Linked DNA regions of Notamacropus eugenii. The protein of the gene in region 1 interacts with the protein of each later gene in a biochemical or structural test. Links are inferred from orthologs where the notes say so. Each region holds a gene or a part of one and is shown on either strand. Other genes may lie near its edges.

The links.
Region 2: the proteins of CRY2 (region 1) and FBXL3 form a complex in vitro, tested with the Homo sapiens proteins (2 studies listed by BioGRID, with this or other methods). The link is inferred for Notamacropus eugenii from reciprocal best matches to the Homo sapiens genes CRY2 and FBXL3.

What each region holds. Positions count from the first base shown.
Region 1 is NC_092877.1:5,012,213-5,021,702, forward strand, and holds the start of CRY2 (cryptochrome-2), read right to left. Parts: upstream 4,795-9,490; 5' UTR 4,726-4,794; coding exon 4,505-4,725; intron 3,330-4,504; exon of another isoform or gene 3,310-3,329; coding exon of another isoform or gene 3,239-3,309; intron 1-3,238. UniProt on the Homo sapiens protein: Transcriptional repressor which forms a core component of the circadian clock.
Region 2 is NC_092877.1:260,062,024-260,072,280, reverse strand, and holds the start of FBXL3 (F-box/LRR-repeat protein 3), read right to left. Parts: upstream 3,935-10,257; 5' UTR 3,797-3,934; intron 1-3,796. UniProt on the Homo sapiens protein: Substrate-recognition component of the SCF(FBXL3) E3 ubiquitin ligase complex involved in circadian rhythm function. Plays a key role in the maintenance of both the speed and the robustness of the circadian clock oscillation.

The DNA.
Region 1 (9,490 bases):
TGGAAGGATCTGCGAGTTGGGGGGGCCTCCCCAGCGCTCAGGGTGGCCCATTCTCCTATTACCAGGAAGTCTGTCCTCACATGCTTTCTTCCCAGGTTTCCTCCATACTGAATACTTCAGCTCCTTCAAGGGATAAGAGGAGATGGAGGCCCCTGCCTTCGTGGGTCATTCTTCTCTGGTCACTCTCTGGTTTGACAATATTCTTCCTAAATGTGGGCTTTGGAGACTGCTCAGGCATTAAGGCCACAAGCTATCATCTCTAGAGAACTGGAGAGGACCTTGGGGTACTGAGTTCAGCCACCTCATTTTACAGATGAGCAAAGTTAAGTGACCTGTCCAAGGTCACATGAGAACTGGGGGAGCCAGAATCTGAACCCAAGTCCTCTGACTTCCAATCCAGTGGCTTCCCCCCTCACTCCACAACCTGTACAGTCCATCTTACTTATACTTCATCGCTTTCAGGTGCCATGATGCCATTGGTGTGAGCCTTCCCTCTCTCCATCCCTGCAGGTGACATCCACTCCACATTCAGTGGCACTCAGGAGTTTCGGTGACCAAAATAATTCATCTTCCAATGGCTGGCCAATCTGTCTCCAAACTGAGCGGGGCCAGTGCTGGAAAGCGGACGTACATCCTGTTGCTTGGCCCCTACAGGAAATCGACCCAGCCTGGTACAACCTGCCAGAACCTGCAGGGAACCTCTGAGATCCCCAGGATTACATTCCCATTGGGATGAGGCAGTAGTGAATGACTTTGGGAAGATACCTAGAAAATGGGTCCATTTCTCAGGAGGGCATCCTTACGTGGGCGAGGGTCTAAGAAAAGCGTAACCTCGACTGCGAAGGGTCAGAGGACTGGCTGAAGGAGGCAGGGATGGTTAGCCTGCAGAAAAGGAGGAGTAGGGCAGGCATGATAACTGAGGGAAGGGGTCAGGCCCCTTCTATCTGGCCTCACAGGGTAGGACAAGGAGCAGTGGATGGGAATTACCAAGAGGCAGACTGAGGTCTGGCATAAGAAAAAACCTGCTAACAAGGAGACCACTCCTAAAACAGAGTGAACAGTGGAATGGGAGCTCTTCTTCCTCTTGGAAGTCTTTAAATACATGACAAATGAGCATTTGGTGGATGTTGTAGAGGGGATTATTATTTGGCCAGGGGTCTCTGAAATCCTGCCATCTCAGGGGCTCTGTGACATTTTATTTAAGCTCCAGAAAATGGAGTCAGAAGCAGCCTCATTATATCACTAAGCATTCTAGACCCATATTCGCCAAAATATGTACATCTCTCCAACTTGTCTAGGTGGCAAGGAAGTCAGCTAGGCCAGGCTAGGAAAGAAAAGATGCTCCCCTCTCCTTAGCCCAGGGAGGCACAGACAGAGAGCCGACCTGTGCAGGAGCCTGAACAAGTGCCTGGAAGCAACCTGTCCTACAACCCCAGCATTTTTAGTTTTCAGGATGCATTTTGCCTGTTCAATTCGTTTCAATCTGCTTCTCCTCATTAAGATTAACTTCCTCTCCACCTACTAATTTCCCTGGCTTCCTGTGGGTCTCAACTAAAATCTCTTCTTTTCCAGGAAGCCTTTCCCAACCCCCTTTAATGACTTGTGATCATGATTTCCTAATGATCTTGTGCATAGCTTGCTTTGTACATGTTGTTTCCCTCAGTAGATCGGGAGTTCCCAGAGGAGGGTCTCCCCAGAGCTTAGCACAATGCTTGGCACACAGCAGGCACTTAATAAATGTTCACTGACTGATCTATGTCTAACACATCCGAAGGACACATGGCTCTGTTCATCTTCCCTTCTGAGAAATGGCCCCCACTTGCTATGCTCCATCTGGTATGCTACTGTTATAAAAGGGGCCCAGACAGAGGCCTGGCTGACGGTGAGTAGCCAAGACACTTGAGAAGACAATATTTCTGGCCATGGGGAGACAGAAGCCCAAATTCTAGCAGAGAGCTGAGGCCCGGCCCCCACAGCACTCTGGCTGTCAGCTCTGCATAACATCAGGGCAAGCTGGAGCCAGGCCAGCCAGCTCTGGCAGACATGGATACTCCTGGGTCAGATCTAAGGAAAGGCCCTTCAGCAGCTTTCATTTATCCCCATGGGAGCAGGAAGAAAATAAAAGACAAAGGCTAGCCCATCATCTTTGGGTTTCAGAGTTCCCTGGCTGGCTTCAGCTCCTGGCAGAGCAGGTCAGGCCCTTGCAGCAGAATGCGTGAGATCCACCCTCCTGGGCCAGAGGCATGGGGAGTACCCCCCACAAGGAGCCAGCTGGGACTCTATGTTGAAATATAGACAACAGTCTCACTGGATTGGAGGCTCAGGAAGGGGCGCCAGAGGTTCATGGTCAAACTGCAGCCTGAATTCCCTCAGGAGAGGCCTTTGTGGACAGAGCCTTAAGGAATGACTAAGATCCTGCCAGGCCCCCTCCCATCTCTTCTAGCCCAAGTCCTCAGCAAAGGGAATGGCTGAAAGGTACTTGCTCTTTTGTAAGAGGGCTTAGAGATATGCCGTATTTGCTTTTGCAAAATGAAAGTCTTTGGGGTCCAGTCCTTGGCCAACATGCCATCATCAATGAGTACAACACAGGCCTCAGCTGGCTGCTTCTATGGGACATAAAGAAATTGTACAGCCGGAGCTTTTTCAGCAGGATCAGGTTTCTGGTCTCTGTTGTATGCTTTATTTCACAAATAGGAAGGGGATCCAGGGCTGACATGCGAAACCATTTACAATTATAAAAAGCTTTCCCTACTCCTGATTTAGAAGATGAGGACAGAGATTTTCCTCCCCTATGGACAAATGGAAAACTCGAACCTTGAAAGCAGAATGATTAAGCGACTGGCCAGGATACTTGCTTGGATGGCTTAGAAGTAGCACAGCACCCCTGATGAGTGTGCCACGCTCTGATCCGTGTACACCCCAGGCACCACCTGCCTTCTCACTGATCCAATTGCAGGAAAGCTTCCTCTGTACTGGAGTCTGACTGTGCTGAGCCACCTGCAATCAGAGCCAGCTGACAGGCTGCTCCCTACCTGCTGTCATCCTGCAGAGCTCAACGGATACAGAGGCTGAAGCACAACCTGCTGCCTCAGGTTACCAACAGTTTCTGTCGGAGTCCATGAGCAACAACCAAGTTTGTGGCCCCTGCCTACACGAGCTCAGGCAGGCCTACCTACACCAAAGGTGGGGGGGGGGTTCTATTTTAAATGCCAACATCTACAACCGGAAGGCAGCTCACCTTCTCTTCTTCTGGTTCTGAGGTGTGGCTAGGACTGTCCCCAAGATCCCCAGCACACTGGAGGCGGGCATGTGCGGGGCACACCTGGTAAGTCTAAAAGCAGCTTGCAAGTGCCAGTATTGTATCTGTCTGACACAGGGAATGCCACCTCAGGAAGGTCTCTCTCTCCTCATCCTGCCTATTCCCCCCACCTGGTGGGAGGAGTCTGTTTTGTGCTGCTTCACCCCCAGCTCCGTCCTTCTGGCCAGCCAAACAGCCTGTACAGAACTGCAGCACGCTGGCAGGGTGGTAAGGCTCCCGGGATTCTGTATCAATCCCACAGCGTACAACTCAGGTACCATGCCCTGCCATGCGATGTCCTTCCTTCCATTTAATCATCTGAAAACTAGCCACAGAACGTTCGTGGCAAACACCAAACTGCACACCACACGTGGCTGCTGCCAAATTCCACCGCAACCAGTACCCAGGCACTTTGCAATGACCCACGTGGCCCTATTCAATGCCCATTAAGTCACGCACACTGGAAAAGCAGAGTTGTTCTGGTCCCTGGCCCTCAGCTCCCTGCTCTGTGAGGGAGGAGCCAGAAGGAGAGCCCTCAAAGGGCCAGCCACGGGAGTGCTCCACAAAATGATGCCACGGGCGGGTACGAGGCGGCCTCCGGGCTACGGCCTAACTGGCATGCAGTCCTCCGGAAGGGGCACAGAGCCCTCAAGGTCTGGCTAAGCTTTCATCTGGTGACCAGAAAAGATGCGGGGGAGGAAGGGCAGCGACGGTGGGCACCATCATCTACCATCTGAGGTCATGCTTTAGCATGCCAGCCTGACGAAGGACAGCACAGACCACGCAGGCTGGCTCTGCCCGCGGCCCTGTCCTCAGGGGCAGAGGGACGCTGACCAGGCAGCTGGCCAGCCACGGGGCACTGCCCCTGGAGCCAGGTCCGAGGCCTCCACAACGCAAACAGGCCACTGGGTTGCATCACGCCGTAGGGTCAGGTCGGATCTGCCCCGGAGCCCCAGCCCCGCCCCCCCCGGGGCAGACGCCTCCGCACGGGCTCCGCTCGGAGCTCCCCAGGCTCGCCCCGCGGGAGGGCCCCTCCTCCGGCATCGGCTCGGACGGGAGGCCGAGGCAGACACGCGCTCCGAGGCCCCGAGGCGGCCACCCCGCCCTCCCGGGCCGGGCCCCTCCCCCGCCCCGCCCCGCCCCTCCGCCGCCGCCGTCGCGTCACCCCCGCCCCCTCCCCACGCAGGCCCCTCCCGGCCCGCTCACCTCCAGCGGTTGATGCCCACGGAGGACGAGGCCGCGAACCACGGGTCGAGGATGTAGACGCAGCGCACGCAGCGCGCCCCGCGCAGGGCCGCCTGCAGCGCCGGGTTGTCGTGGAGCCGCAGCCCCTTGCGGAACCAGTGTACGGAAGAGGCGCCCTCCTCCGGGGCCGGGGCGGGGGCAGCGGCCGGCACCGTCACCGTCACCGCAGTCGTCGCCGCCATCACAACCCAGACTGCGGCCGACGCCGCCGCTCCGCCCAGGTCGGGCCCTCAGGCCCCGCCCCCTCGAGATACCTCAACCAATGGGGTTTCCTCTGCGCTCGCAGGCCCGCCTCCCTGCTCTCGGGCTGCCAGTCCTACTGGTTCGGAGCTTCCCGTGGTCTGATTGGCCCAGAGGCCTGGGACCGGTCCCGCCCCGTCACGTTCCCACCATGTGTGTCGGCCCAGACAGGGGGCGGGGCCCACGGGCGGGGCGGCGGTGACGCACTGCGTCTGCGTTTCTGGCTACGTCTGTTCTTCATTTTCCACCCTGGGCACCCAGGGAGGGGTCCGGTCCTGGGCCCGCCGGCGCTTCGGGGGGGCACGCGGACTTCTACCTTCTCGAGGAACTCCCCTTGCTGCCGTTTGCCCCACCCTCGGGGCTCCGCCTGTCCCTCCGAGGGGCTCGGCCCGGACGGGGCGGGGGGCGTGGCTCGGCCCGGACGGCGAGGGGGGAGGGGCTCGGCCCGGACGGGGCGGGGGGCGTGGCTCGGCCCGGACGGGGCGGGGGGCGTGGCTCGGCCCGGACGGGGCGGGGGGCGTGGCTCGGCCCGGACGGCGAGGGGGGAGGGGCTCAGTCCGGGCGGGGCGGGGGGCGGGGCCCGAGTCCCGGGGGTCGGCCCTGGGAGGGAGCTGGAGCCTCGGGTCCCGGCTGGGGGGGGGGTGTCCTTCGATCTCCGTTTCCTCCTCTCCCTGCGGACGGGAAGGGCCGGGCAGGCAGCAGCCACACGTGTACCCCCGTGCGGTCCGTGCCCGCGCACATAGGTGTCCAGCAGACTCCCGCACGCGGGGGTGATTTACCTGTGCAGCGCTTCTTACCCTTCTGGGTCATGGGCCCCTTCCCAGAGAAGGTTCTTAAGAGCGTGAAACAAAACGCGTGGGTGCGGGGGGGCCGGCTGGCAGCCTTCAAACGCGCCCCAGCCCCGCACCTCTCTGTCTGCCTGCCTTGAGGAATGGCTCCCATGGGAGCCTGGTGCGTGACTTCACGCACGATGGATACCCTTGCTCGCCTTCTCAGTGGGAGTGGGGGAGAACTGGGAGCTAACACTTATTAAAACAGGTATAGTGATTAAAAATGACTTTTTTTAAAATTAAAGACCCTTGCCCTAATGGGCTGGAAGCTCACTGAGGGCAAGGACCGCTCTGCTTTTGTTTCTGCACTGCCAGTACCTAGCCTGGCACAGCGCGTGACAGACGGGTGGTCAGCCTTCTAAGCCTTTTAGAGCCAGTGTCCTGCATTCCAAGGTCTCTTCCAGCCCTGTGACTCTGCCAGGGAATAACTACCGGCCTTGACCCATTGCGGGCTCTCTGCATGGAGACGTTGGCGCAAGTCCTAGGAGGAGCAGCAGTGCTTGGAGCAGTGACGGTCCTCTGGTGACAGAAAGGCTCCGGGCTGACACAACCAATAAAGGCACGTTCTGTCCAGTAAGATTCAGGCGAACATGTCACTTTGTGTTGCAGGGAGCGTGGGTTCTGGAGAGAAACTGTTCCAAGTGGACAGCTAGGTAAGTTGCCCTACAGCCAGGACTGACGTGTTGTTTTTTGAAGCAGACTCAGTACGGTGTGGACCAGGCTGGAACCCTGGATTTAGAGTGAAATCCTGCCTTTAAAGTATATTAGCTAGTGACCCTGGGTAACCCTTCAGAACCTGTAAAATGGGTTAACGATGGAAATGGAACTCATTGTGAGGATCCAGTGGGAGCAGATGGACTTTGTGAGTTGAAATCTGATCTTAGATGATTAGCTCGGTGACCCTAGGCAAGTCATTTAACCTTTTTGCCTTAGTTTCCTCACCTGTAAAATGAGCTGGAGAAGGAAATGGCAAACCGCTCCAGTATCTTTGCCAAGAAAACCCCCAGTGGGGTCATGGAGAGTCAGACAGCTGAATAACAACAGTGCAAAGTAAATTTGCAAACTTTAAAGCCTCTGTTGATATCAGTCATTATCATAATATATTCAAGGATGTCACTGCTTAATGATATTGGACAGAGCAATCTTATTTAGGATATGATCCTCTATGCCTCAGAGATATAGAGTTATTCTAAGGAATGTGATAGTCATCTCCAGGAAAGGGCTAATCAAAAGTAGCCTGCAATGAGAAAGTTTTATTGGAAAGACTTAGATGAACTGATGCAAAGTGAAGTGAGCAGAACCAGGAGAAAGAACATTGTACATGGTAGCATCAGTATTGTACAGTGAAGAATCGTGAACGATTCAGCTGTTCTCAGAAATGCAGTGATCTAAGACAATCCCAAAGGATTCACGATGAGGTGTGCTATCCACCTCCAGAGAAAGAACTGACGTTGTCTGGATGCCGCCTGAAGCAGGCTGTTTTTCCTTTCTTTTTTTCTTCCTTCCAGCCATCCTTCCTTCCTTCCTTTTTCTTGTTTGAGTCTTCTTGTATGAAATGACTAATATGGAAACATTTTACATGATTGCACATGTATAACCTATATCAGATTGCCATCTCAGGGAGGGGAGCAGGGAGGAAGGAATGGAGGGATAGAATTTGGAACTCAGCTTAAAAAGAAACGTTAAATTTTTGTTTTAACATGTAATTGGGAAAAATAAACTATCTAAAAATAAGAGAGATTTAGATTAGACTTGAGAAAGAGCTTTCTATTAGCGAGTATTGTTCAGCATTGGGGCAAGCAACCAAGAGAATTTAGTCAGAATTTAGACACTGACCTCAATAAATGTGAAGAAAATAACCTTGCAAGGACTTTTCCAAGAGTGCACTGCAGTCAGCTTGGAATGTGTTAAATTTACCCCTCTGAAATCAGCAAATGCTACAAATCGGGGTGTGATTTATTATAGTTTTGTTGGCTATGGAACAAGTGTTAATGATGTAAATTAAATGTAAAAGCATGCTGTAAGTACAATTTTTTATGCATAACAAGACGGTTTTTACTGGGTCAAGGGTCAGATTCACAGTTGGCAGGAGATGGTATTCGATGAGTAATTGGCTGAGTGCTTGGGAAGGTCTATGGGTGCAGGCACACGAATGTCCTGTCCTCTCTCTAGCCGCCACTCACAGTCAATCAGGTAGTTGACCCCATCAATGACAAGCTGTACCAGCTTCACCTCTGATTTGCCTAGCCTGTCCAAGTTGGAAATGTCAAAAGTGCTGCCTGTGGCTGCTGTGTCCACCCCACCAGTTCCACGTTTTTGTAGCCTTAGGTTCTCTAAGATCTTGGGGAATCGACTGTCCTTGCTTAACAGGGGCAGTTTGACATGTACACTTGCTCGAAGTCCAGTTCCCAAATTAGAAGGGCAAGTCAGGATGTAACCCAAATGCTCATTCCACATGAACTCCCAGCCACGTTCTTGGATTAGACTTTCCACCTCCTTGAGCCCCCGGCAGAATCTCTCAAACACTCTTTTCATGTTGCTACCCTCTTCCATTGAGATGACCTGTGTGTGATCCTTCTCTTTCACCCAGATGAAGAAGCTTTTTCATTGTTGTGCCAGATTCCTCGAGTGTCTGGCCAGTCTCGGTCCATTCCAGCTGCTGTCAGCAAGGGAGACACAGGCTTGTCAAATAGGAAGTGTTCATCAGTAAGCGGCTGTTGCTCAGCCTTAGTCATCTCCCTGAGCAGGCCACTCTGCATCCACTACAACTCGTTCCACCTCTCGTCACTCAGCCCTTGTACAGGCAGGGAGTAGACTGAGTCCCCTGATGCTTTGGCCAGTCCAGACTCTTGAGGATAATACACACCTCTCATCAAAATGGCCAGCTTGAATCTTGCTGGCATCCAAGTCTGTGGTATGCTTCATTGTTCGGGGATCATAGCCATTATGTCTTTCTTGGATCTCTGGGTCAAAAAGCTCAGCAAATACCTCATAGGTCTCTTCATCTCCGGCTACCATGCCCACAGTCTTGATGAAAGGGTGACCACGGTTAACCAGTATCCATCGTGTGAGCATGGTCTTGTCACAGAGCCGGGCATTACAGGTGGAGTCAGGTGACTAGCCATGCAGTTGTTGTGTTTTCGAAGATCAGGGCACTTTGCACTGAGTGGGTATAGCCTTCCTTGCTTTCCAGAGGTTTGTAGTGGGTTGGGGCGGAGCAGATATCCAGCAGTCAGAGACCCTGTGCCGGCCACAGCAAGAAGCCTGAGTCCCGGGCGGGCAGAAAATAATCAGGAGAAGGAACTAGCCATGGCGTGGTGGCCGGATACTCGATCTGGGAATTAGAGCTGGAGCGGGAGCTCAAAGCGAACCAGAGGCTGAAAGATTTGTAGATTTGTAGCTGGAAGGGGGCTGGCGCTGGGCCAGAACCGATGCTGAAGCAACAGGCGAAGTGCTTGGAGACCAGGTTGGAGTCAGACCAGGGACTGGCCCTCGAGCTGCATGGAGAAGCGCCTAAGTATAACTTTTTTCAGTCTCTTATTAAACATTTATAAGCACATCATCTGAACTCTTATCAATGCCATAACCAACCAGGATTTTGGAGGACTCACTGTGACTCCCACCTCTTGGCAGAGAGGTGGTGGACTCCAGGTACAAAATGGGGTATGCCTTGTCAGATATACCAATGCAATCATGTGTATTGTTTCTTAATGGGAAGGAAAGTTGAGGAGGATGAAGAATTGTTGGGAAATGACAGCAATATAAAAAAAATTTTTTTAAAAAAATAGTTAATTGAACAGTCAGCCTTCTGCCTTGTATGCTTGAGGCATAGTCAGTCGGAGTATTTGTTAAAAGCTTACCATGTTCTAAACCGTGT
Region 2 (10,257 bases), about 260 Mb from region 1:
AAGGCTATGTCAGGGAAGAAAAGGGATGGTTTTGAATTTTAAAGGGTGGATAGGAATTTAACGTGGGAAGGGAGGGCAGGAAAGCATTTAAGACAGGGAAGTATGGGGCAGGAAAGTACAGGTATGTTCAAAGGACAGCAGTAAATTCAGTTGCCCTGTCACAGAACTACAGATGACAGTAAAGTTAAAAACATGGTCTCTAAAGCTATAAAGATGGGGGAGGTGGGGGAGCAGAGGAGGTGTTTAAGATTATAAAGTATCTTGAATACTAGGCAACAGTCTGAACTTCATTCTGTAAATAACAGGAAGCTAATTTTAACATCTGAGCAGAAGAGTGACAAGACCAAATCTATGTAAAGAATATTAGTTTGGCACTGCCACTGAGAGGGTAAGGAGGGAATTTATAGGTAAAGAAAGGAATGAATAGCAGTTATAAGGCTATACTACAATAGTTCAGAAAGGGAGTCAAGAGGGTCTGTGCTAGAAGTGTAGCAGTGCGAAGGACAGAAAAGAAGGATAAGTGGCTAAGTATATGAGGTGAAAAACAATAGTCAAAGGATAACACCAAAGTCTTCAAACAGGAAAATGAAAAAATGGTGACTGATTCTCAACAGAATTAGCGATAATTAAAAAAAAATAACAAAATTGACTTAGTATGTGTCTTAAGTGTGACATGGCAGAAAAAAAGCTAATGTGATATTAGACTACATTATAAACATACTGTTCAGAATTCGAGAATTAACAGTCCCTTCATATTCTCCATCGCATCTGGAATACTGCATTCACTTTTGGTTGCCACATTTTAGGAAGGCAAAGTTTGAACATATTTTAAGGAGAACAACCAGAACAAAACTAGCACACAAAACCATGCCACATGAAAATTATTGGAAGGAACTGGGTATGTTTAGCCTGGAGGAAAAACAAAAACAAAAAACTTAGCCAACTAGATAGCTATCTTCAACTCTCTGGAGAGAAATATAATGGGGAAGAATTAACCTTGTTTTGCTGGTCAAAGATGATAAAGTCTTGACCTTTTGAGCTAGAAGGGACCTAAAAGTCATCTAGTCCAATTCCCTTCTATTACAAATGGGAAAAAATGAAGGCCAAAATGGTTAAGTGACTTTTCCAAGATCACACATATAATAAATGGCAGAGCTAAGATTTCAACTCAGGTTCTCCTCTAAGCAACAGTACTCTTTCTACTGTACTCCACTAGCTCCTATTTGCTTGAGATAAATATTAGCTCCAAATAGTCAAGTCAAGAAGCGTTTATTAAGCCTCTACTATGTGCCAGCCACTGGGGCTACAAAAAAAAGGCAAAAGCCCTGCTCTCAGGGAGTTCACAATCTAATGGGAATAAGCAAACTATCTTGTATAAACAAGATATCAGAATAAAGGGACTATTGATATTAATTTGTAGAAGCAAGGCGAGGTTGTTAATCAATTAAAAAGTCCTACACCCAGAATTACAACCTAAAGAACTCAGGTAGTTATTTTAGAGGTCAGAGTTAATATCCAACTGAAACATATTGCTTTAGTAGCAAAAGTGTGGTCTTTCTTCCAGTCTCTTTGTGGTAGAGAGAGGTACCACTCTTTCTGGTCATCCACATACTTAATACACGTAGAACAACTTTCTAACAAGTTCTGAAGCACAGGACATCTTCAAGCATAGGCTGGATAATAATTTATTGGGAATGGTATAGAAGTCATTCCTGTCAAAGCATGTAGACTAGATGATTGAGGGAATTAGAAAAGAAAAAAATAAGCATCGAGGTTGCAGGTGTATTAACAACAGTCACAGAATATAATTAGGCTTTTAGTATGTTTTAATATCCTTTGCCAAGTAAGCCCAATTTATTAATTTTTCACCTATATTATTTACCTATAATAATTCAGATCATCTTCAAAGTTAATTATTTAGTCTATTTGCACATAAATCTGTACTTTACAAAGTTAGTGATGCTTCAGGGATATTCACCTATGGGCAGTTTGGTCAATGAACTATTTATCTCCCATTTTTTGGTCAAGTTAAGTACTTATATATTTGAAGAGGAGTGTGACAGAACAGAACTGGAGAATAAAAGTCAATCAAGACTTTTTACAGAGCAACAAAAATCAGCCCTCTGCAGGCATACTTGTTCAATGTCATGTTACCAACTTTTCTAATTACAGATGCTCCAACATGGTGCTTTCATACATAATTATTCTAGGTTCCTAAATATTGTAAGGAAACGGAGCCGTTGGATTCGAACGAAAATCACCAAGTAAAACACAAGCTAAAGGAAAGGTTTTGCTGGGCTAAGTTGTAACACTCCCCAAAACTACTGAAATAAGAGTAACTTGACCATCAGCAATAGTGTCCAAGACTGGCAAAGGAACAGTTCTGTGATTTCAGTGGTAGAGGGAACTCCTAGATGTAGCAACCCCTTTTACTGAAAACTTGTCTTGTGAGAGTTGCCTAAAGCAGAGGTGTCAAGCTCAGGACCAGCAAAACTGCAGAGTGCTTTACCACTGGAAGTAATTAGGAAATGCTTAACAAAATAAAAATATAACACAGATAATCCTAATTTGTGGTTTTCTAAGTCTACATGCACTGCACGGATATGTCTGCGGAATTTGACACCACCGGCCTAAACACTGAGGGGTTAATTTACCACGGTCACAGAGCCAATACGTTAGAGGCAGGTTAACTCAGGTCTTTCTAGTTACAAGCTCAGCTTTCTAACCACGCTGCCTCTCAAACGGGAGGTGTTCATTTTAATATTTATCTGCGGTATGAAAAGTCTGGCAAGAGCCCATCCTTTATATCCGTCTTTTATTTTTACTGACGACATTCAATGCCAGCCTCACATGCACTTCCACTCTGACCCCAGCCTAACTAACTCTGGGCAAGCTAATCCCTCAGTGTCCTCGGCAACTCTCCACGACAAAAGCTGAGCCGAGAAGAAAGGTAGGGACACGACTAAACCTGCTAGGTACCAGTGCCATTCCAGGCCTAGCCCCAGCCCCTGGCCTCTAGCTGCCGTTAAAACTAGCGAGAGGGCACATAGCCATCGGGACAGCAGCTCGAAGCCAGGCTGGTGCTAAAAAGAAGTCCAGGTAAAAGACAGCGAGGGATAACCCACACAAAGCAAACCAGCTGACGGTATCTTAATGGACTTTCACGGATAACACGAAGCGTCCATCTCACAAAGTAAACAAGCACCCAGTAACACCGGGCCCTCCCCACGGAGGGCGGGCCCGCGCCTCGGCACTCCGTCCGACACAACCCAAACAAGCCCGAGGAGGGCGAGGGCCGGCGGCTCGTCACTGGCAGATTTCCGCTCCCGTGCGCGGTCCTCCCCCGCCACCTCCCCGCCGATCTCAGGCCTCGCCCACACGCAGCCCAGAACGCGCGGGGCGGCCCGCAGCCGTCTCTGCTGACATCTGTCCCGTCACTCACTCCACACTCCACATTCGGGGTACCCCCGCCGTCCGTGCTGGAAGCGGGCCCCGCTTCTGACCCAGGCCGGGAGGCACCCGCCCGAGCCACCGCCACCCCCAGGACTGGGCGCAGGGGCGCGGTCCCGCCCCACGCCCGCCAGCGCACCTGGCGGACCTGTTTTCAGGGGGTGGAGAGAAGAGGGATGGACCGGAGCGACCCCCACCCCGCCCCTGCTCCTGGGTCTCAGCGGGCGGGGCCCCGCGGGACACCCGGCCCTGCCCTCCCCCAGACCTGGGCCGGCCGGACCCTCCGTCTCGGGGCCGAGGGGAAGGGAGAGGGCGACGGGCGGGCGGGACGCCGAGGCTCCGTTACCTGGTGCGGGTGGCGGCTTCCCTCACACGCCACCCCCGGCTCCGGAGGCGGCGGCGGCGGCGGCTGCTCCCGCTGCTCTCACGTCAGGCCCGCCGGGGCCCCCTCTCCGCACACCGGCCGCCGCGGCCCCTCGCGCTCCGCCTGCATCCGAGCCCGAGGTGCTGGCGCGGCTGCTCCGCCTCTCCGGCCCCCGGGGCCCTCCCCGAAGCCCCTCCGCAGGAAGCCCTGGGCTTCGATCACGCCCCCTCCGAGTCTCTCTGCCCTGGCTCCCCGGCCCGAGCTCCGACAGTGCCCGTCAGAACGCCACGGCGCCAGCCGAGCTCCCCTGCCCTTCCTGCGCCTCTCGGCCGCCCTGACACTCAGTCCAAAATGGCGCTCGCCGTCGCGGCCGCGCGCTTTGACTTCCCCGCCCCCACTCCGGCGCTGGCAGGCGAGCAGGCGCGCGCTCGGTTCGGGCGGCCGAGGAGCCTCGGAGCCGAAGCCGGCAGGCGGAAGGAAAGTGGCGGCCCCGCCCCCAGGCTCGGCGCATGCGCCGTGGTGGGAGCGCGCCTCCCAGCTCCCTCTTTCGGGCTTCAGAAAACTCCAGATTACTGGGAGGAGGGCGTGTTTACGGAGCTTCTAATTTTCAGAGGGAAGGGGAGGAGCGAGCGAGAATCCTGCAGTTTTCTTCCCCAGGAAAGCGGAGGCCGACGATGCGGCGTCAGAAAAGTGCCTCGGGCGGAGAAGAGGGCGCCCTGGGCGGGGGTCCCCCCGGGCCGCGGGCTCTGCTCTGCGCCCCCTGCCTCTCCAGGGCGCTCATGACGGGACTGTCCCGAAGAGGAACCCCTGGGGTGCGCCGCGGCGTGAAGAAAGGCTTCCAAAGGCCCCTGTTTTTAAAGCCCGCAGTTTGCTCTAAAGATTGAAAAAGTAATCCAACAGAGGGACCTCTCCTGAAATAACTAAGAAGTTGGGGGAAATGCTGGACCGCAGTCACACCGAAAACCTCCCTCAGGGAGCTGGGGATGGAACCAAGGGGTTGGCAGGAGGAGAGTCCAGGACGTGACGAACGAGGTGCGGGGATGTGGGGACCTTCCCAGCCCCGGGCCGCCTCCGAGTGGGACGGAACAAATAGTGTTATTGAGGGGACGCCGCCAGAGGGCCGCCCTTGAGGACCCAGGGGGCCGCCGGGTCCCCGCCCCGCAGACCCCTGGACCATTCAGTCCTATCACCAAGCCCGCCTAGCCCGCTGTTGTTGGGGCTGCGCCGCTGAGCCTGGAACACTTTGTCCGTCTTTTCTTTAATTTTCCTAAATGTTAGTACTTCCTCCAGTGATGCAGAACGTTATCGTTTCATCCTTTATCAGATTGAAACCAAGGTTTTTTTTTTTAATATTTGTAACCTCGGTTGCTTAGTGTTATTAGATGGTAGGACCTCTGAATTCAGTATCCACGATGTGTCCAAAGTTTAGCGTAAGTCACTGTGGGTATTTAATGCACAAAGTTGTTATTCAGCTGTGCCCCACTCTTCATGACCCCATCTGGGGTTTTTCCCCCAGAAATAATAGAGTGGTATGCCCTCTCCTTCTCCACCTCGTTTTACAGATGAGGAAACTGAGGCAAACTAGGATCCCATAGCTGGTAAGTGTCTGAGGTCAGATTTGGACTCAGGAAGAAGAGGCTTTGTGATTCTAGACCTGGCACTTTATCCACTGTGACGCCTAGCTGCCCTGTTATCTCAGATAATGTTTGTTGCCTACATTCGTAATAGAAAGATGATCAATTCCAAATTTTCCACCCGTCTCTCCCCTCCCCGCCATGGTGGTATGCATTGTGATTACCCTGTCCTCCAATCTGCCCTCCCTTTTCTGACTTCCCACAGACCCTTCTCTTATTTCCTTCTTCTATTTTCCTATGCGGTAAGCTAGATTTCTGTACCCCATTGCCTGGGTATCTTATTTCTCAGTTGCGTGTATTTTCAACATTCTTTTTTTTTTAAACTTTGAGTTCCAAACCCTTCCCCACCCTCATTGAGAGGGCAAGCAGTTCAATATAGGTTGTACAAGTGTAGTCATACAAAACACTTCCATGATAGTTATGGTGTGAAAAACCATATTTCTCTCCATCCTGTCCCACCCCCCTTTATTCTGTTATCTCCTTTGACCTTGTCCCTCCTCAAAAGTGTTTGCTTTTGATTACCCCCTCCCTCAATCTGCCCTCCATTCTATTACCCCCTCCCCTTATACCCTTCCCCCCTACTTTCCTGTAGGGTAAGATAGATTTCCATACCCAACTGACTGTGTATGTTATTCACTCCTTAAGCCAAATCCAGTGAGAGTAAAGTTCACTCATTCTCTCTCACATCTCCCCTCTTCCCTTCCACTGTGAAAGCTTTTTCTTGCCTTTTTCATGTGAGATAGTTTACCCCATTCTACATCTCCCTTTTTTCTTTTCCCAATACATTCCTGTCTCTCACTCCTTAATTTTATTTTTAGATATCATCCCTTCATATTCAACTCACCTATGCCCTCTATTTATATTCTTTCTAACTACCTTAATAATGAGAAAGGTCTCAGGAGTTACAAATATTATTTTTCCATGTAGGAATGTAAACAGTTCAACTTTAACAAGTCCCTTATGATTTCTATTTCCTGTTTATCTTTTCATGCTTCTCTTGAGTCTTGTATTTGAAAGTCAATTTTTAAGGTTTATTAGAAATTGAATCTGACTTCAGAGAGGCCTGGAAGGACTTATATGACCTGATGCTGAGTGAAAGGAGCAGAACCAGGAGAACTTTGTGCACAGCAACGACCACAGTGTGCAAGAGTTTTTTCTGGTAGACTTGGAATTTCGTAATAATGCAAGAACTTCTTAAAAAAAAAAAATCCCAATGGTGGTTCTCAAGGCAAAATGCCTTCCACACTCAGAGAAAGAAATATGGAAGTCATTCGCAAAATGTAGCAGATCATGTTTGTGTATGTGTATGTTTTTGTGTATCATGTTTTAATTTGTTATATTTCTTTCATTTGTTTTAGTCTGACTACATAGCATGACTATAGTGAAAATATACTCAATAGGAAAGTATATGTAGAACCTATACAGAATTGTATGCAGTCGTGGGGAAGGAGGGAGGTAGTGGGGGGTAGGTGTGGGGGGGGATAAAATCTCAATTGTATGGCAGTGATTGTTAAACTTTAAAAAAAAAAAAAAGAAATTGAATCTGAGCATTGGCCAGATTCTTAAGGAATCTGAGCAATTTAATGGGGGGGTGGGGAGGGGTGGGTAAAATGGAATTTATATACAGAAAGACTGTGGGAAGGATCTATCTAGGAGTGGTCAAGTAGTCTAGGGTGACTGGGAGGTAACTGAGAAGGAACAGTAAAGGCTGGATGCCCCAGGCAAATGGCAAGAACCTGGGGAAAGTTCAGGATTTTTTCCTTTTTGGGCTCCAGATCCCAAAGACATAATCTTTTCCTTTTAGGGGTTCAGATCCCATCCCCATCATTCCACCTTCAGACAAACGGAACCCAAATTCTTTTGGGGTAAGGGGCAAAGGTCTTAGCTTCTGAAACTCCATCCTACAGCAAGGGCCATGGAGCTGTCCCTGCCTCAGGAGTGTCCCAGAGGAGGTTGACTGGACCCAAACAGAGGCTGCATTCAGGGGATGATGGGGGGGACGTTGGCTGGTACCTATTGTTTGCCACCAACTGTAGGTGAATGACCTGTAGCCTAGAAGACACAAATCTAACAAGCAAGTCTGCAGGGCCCAAATGTAGGGAGAATGAAAAGTGCAAGGACCCCATTAAAATTATTTACATTTGACCTGCAAGATTATCTGATTTTGCTACTTTCTCAAAAGTTTTAGTAACATTTTTGCGGTTAGAAATGATGAACAGGAAGACTTCAGAGAGACCTGGAAGGACTTAAATGAACTGATGCTGAGTGAAAGGAGCAGAACCAGGAGAGCTTTGTATATAGCAATAACCACCGTGTGCGAGGAATTTTTCTGATAGACTTAGTATTTCATTGCAATGCAAGAACTTTAAAAATTCCCAATGGACTCGAGGCAAAATGCCTTCCACATCCAGAGAAAGAGCTATGAAATTGGATTGCATAATGAAGCAGACCAATTTTTTTTTGTATTATGTTTTGTTTAGTTTTATGGTTTCTCCCATTCATTTTAATTCTTCTATGCAACATGACTAAGGTGAAAATGTATTTAATAGGAATGTATGTGTAGAACCCATATAAGATTGTGCACTATCTCAGGGAGGAAGTGGGGAGGGGGGGGAAGGGGAGGAGGGGAAAAAAATCTAAGATATATGGAAGTGATTGTAGAACACTGAAAACAAATAAAATAATTTAATAAAAAAAAAGTTTTCCACCCTTGAACAGGGACTGACTTTTACTCCAATTAGAATAAAAGACTAGGGAGGATACTTAAGTAATGATTAGGTCAAATAGATTACCTCCCTCTAAGAAAATAAATTGCACTGAAATTCTCTTCCCCAAACCAAATTGAAGATGTTTCTGATTTAATTTCGGTTGTTTGGGGTATAGAATGACTACACATTCAGGTGAAAACAGCAAGATCTCATACACTTGCATTGTGCTTATATCTTTTACTGACTACTTGCTCTGATTATAGAAATTTGTTATAAAAGGATAAAGCACGGGCAAGATTTATACAGGATAAAATATTCTTAGAATTCAGATAATTCACAGTTTCCCAATCATTTCTACATACTTGCAAATTCTGAGTAAGCCAAATTCATTGTTTAGGAACTCCATAACCCCAACAAACTTGTTGAGAAGTTTACACGTTAAAATAATAACCAACAATCTTACAATTTTAAACTTCAGATGACATCAATCACATTTCCAGATCATATAAAAACTATTAAAGATGGGCTTACAAATTGCAGAGGCTGGCTGGCTTCTCATCTCATACTTCCAGGCTCTCCGGCCCCAGGTGCTCAGGTCCATTACCAGTGGGCCCAATGCTGCAGCTGCTGCCCATCCCCCAAGTTCTCTTCTTCTAGTCTGACCTTCGATGGGAGGGATTAACAGAAAAGCCCAAGGCTGTTTCCAGTCCCCCAATGGAGATAATCCTCTTGACTCAAGGGATGGGAGTTGGGGAAGGGAGTGACCAGGGTTGTAAGGAGGTGTTTCAAAAGTCCTTAAGGATCACTCACAAAACTTCCAGAATCTGCTAACAGGTTTTTAGCTGTTCTAACTTTTCACTGTGGTTTTAGCCTGGTCAGAGCCGGGACTACAGAACATTCCTAGTGCTTTGGAGAGCCGACCCCAACTGCAGGACAAGAGAGGAATAGGGAGAGAGGGGAGTCTTACATTCCTTCCAATCTTGGCTGGAGAAGAGTTTGAGATTAGGCAGTTTCTCAGTCTCAGGGAACCAAAATGTTGAAGTCTAGGGGTGCTGGGACCCCAAAATTCAAGGACAAGTGACAGCAGGTCCTGCTTCAAATAAATTTAACCCAAGCCTTCTTTCAGGCAAAGTGTATTAGAACACCTGTTTGGGTTTTTGGCCAGACTCTTAAAGAATCTGAGCATTTGTGACACTTGTATTGACAAGCAGGCCAGACTGACTCTGACCTTGACCAGACTTTTAAGCAATCTGACCATTTGTATCACTAATGAAAGCAGGCTAGATTCTTATGGAATCTGAGCCCCAACTTCACTCTTTAAAATATTTTTTTCTAGGTGATTTTCTTTTTATATGCATGACTTTAGACGGAAATAAAGGGAACAATGTTGAATGCAGACACTATTATGATCATGTCCCTAAACAAGTTCCAGAGAAAGTTAAAATATGGGGGAAGGAGGGGCAGAAGACAAATGCATGATGCCATTCTGCATAAGAAGCCTGGGCAACCAAAGTTTTGTTTTTGTCCTCTCAGGAAGAGCAGTGGGACAGGCTGAGAGAATCTTGACAACTCCATCACAAACAATGGAAGCCATGCTTTCTCTAGGTTCTCTATTGCTTCCCTTATTTAAATAAAAAGCAATTAAAATGTCAGCATGAGGCAAACAAATCTATTTTCTATAGATCTTGTCCATTCCCTTTCAACAGACCCCCTGACCTCAGAGAAAATGTGGTCCAAGTAAAATTTAAGATCCTCGTACCTGGCATCAACCTCCTTATTCACTATCTTCCTTCCTTTCCAGAAACTCTTGGGTTCTAAACCATACCTTCTACCATCTACAGATGATTAATGGTAACATAATGCTCACATGCAAAGAACATACAGAATGGAAATGTTGTACAGAGATTTCAAATAAAGTACCTATGTGCTTAAACTAACTTTCCATCTCTTCTGGCTTTGGTTCAAGGCTGAGACCACACAGCACCTCTCTCCAAGCTGACCAAGAGATACAAGCTACTGAAAGGGATGACAGCTATCTGATATATAGGAAGGAGGAAGGGTGGCTAAGTGCAGAATAAGCCCCAAAGTACCCATTTCCTAG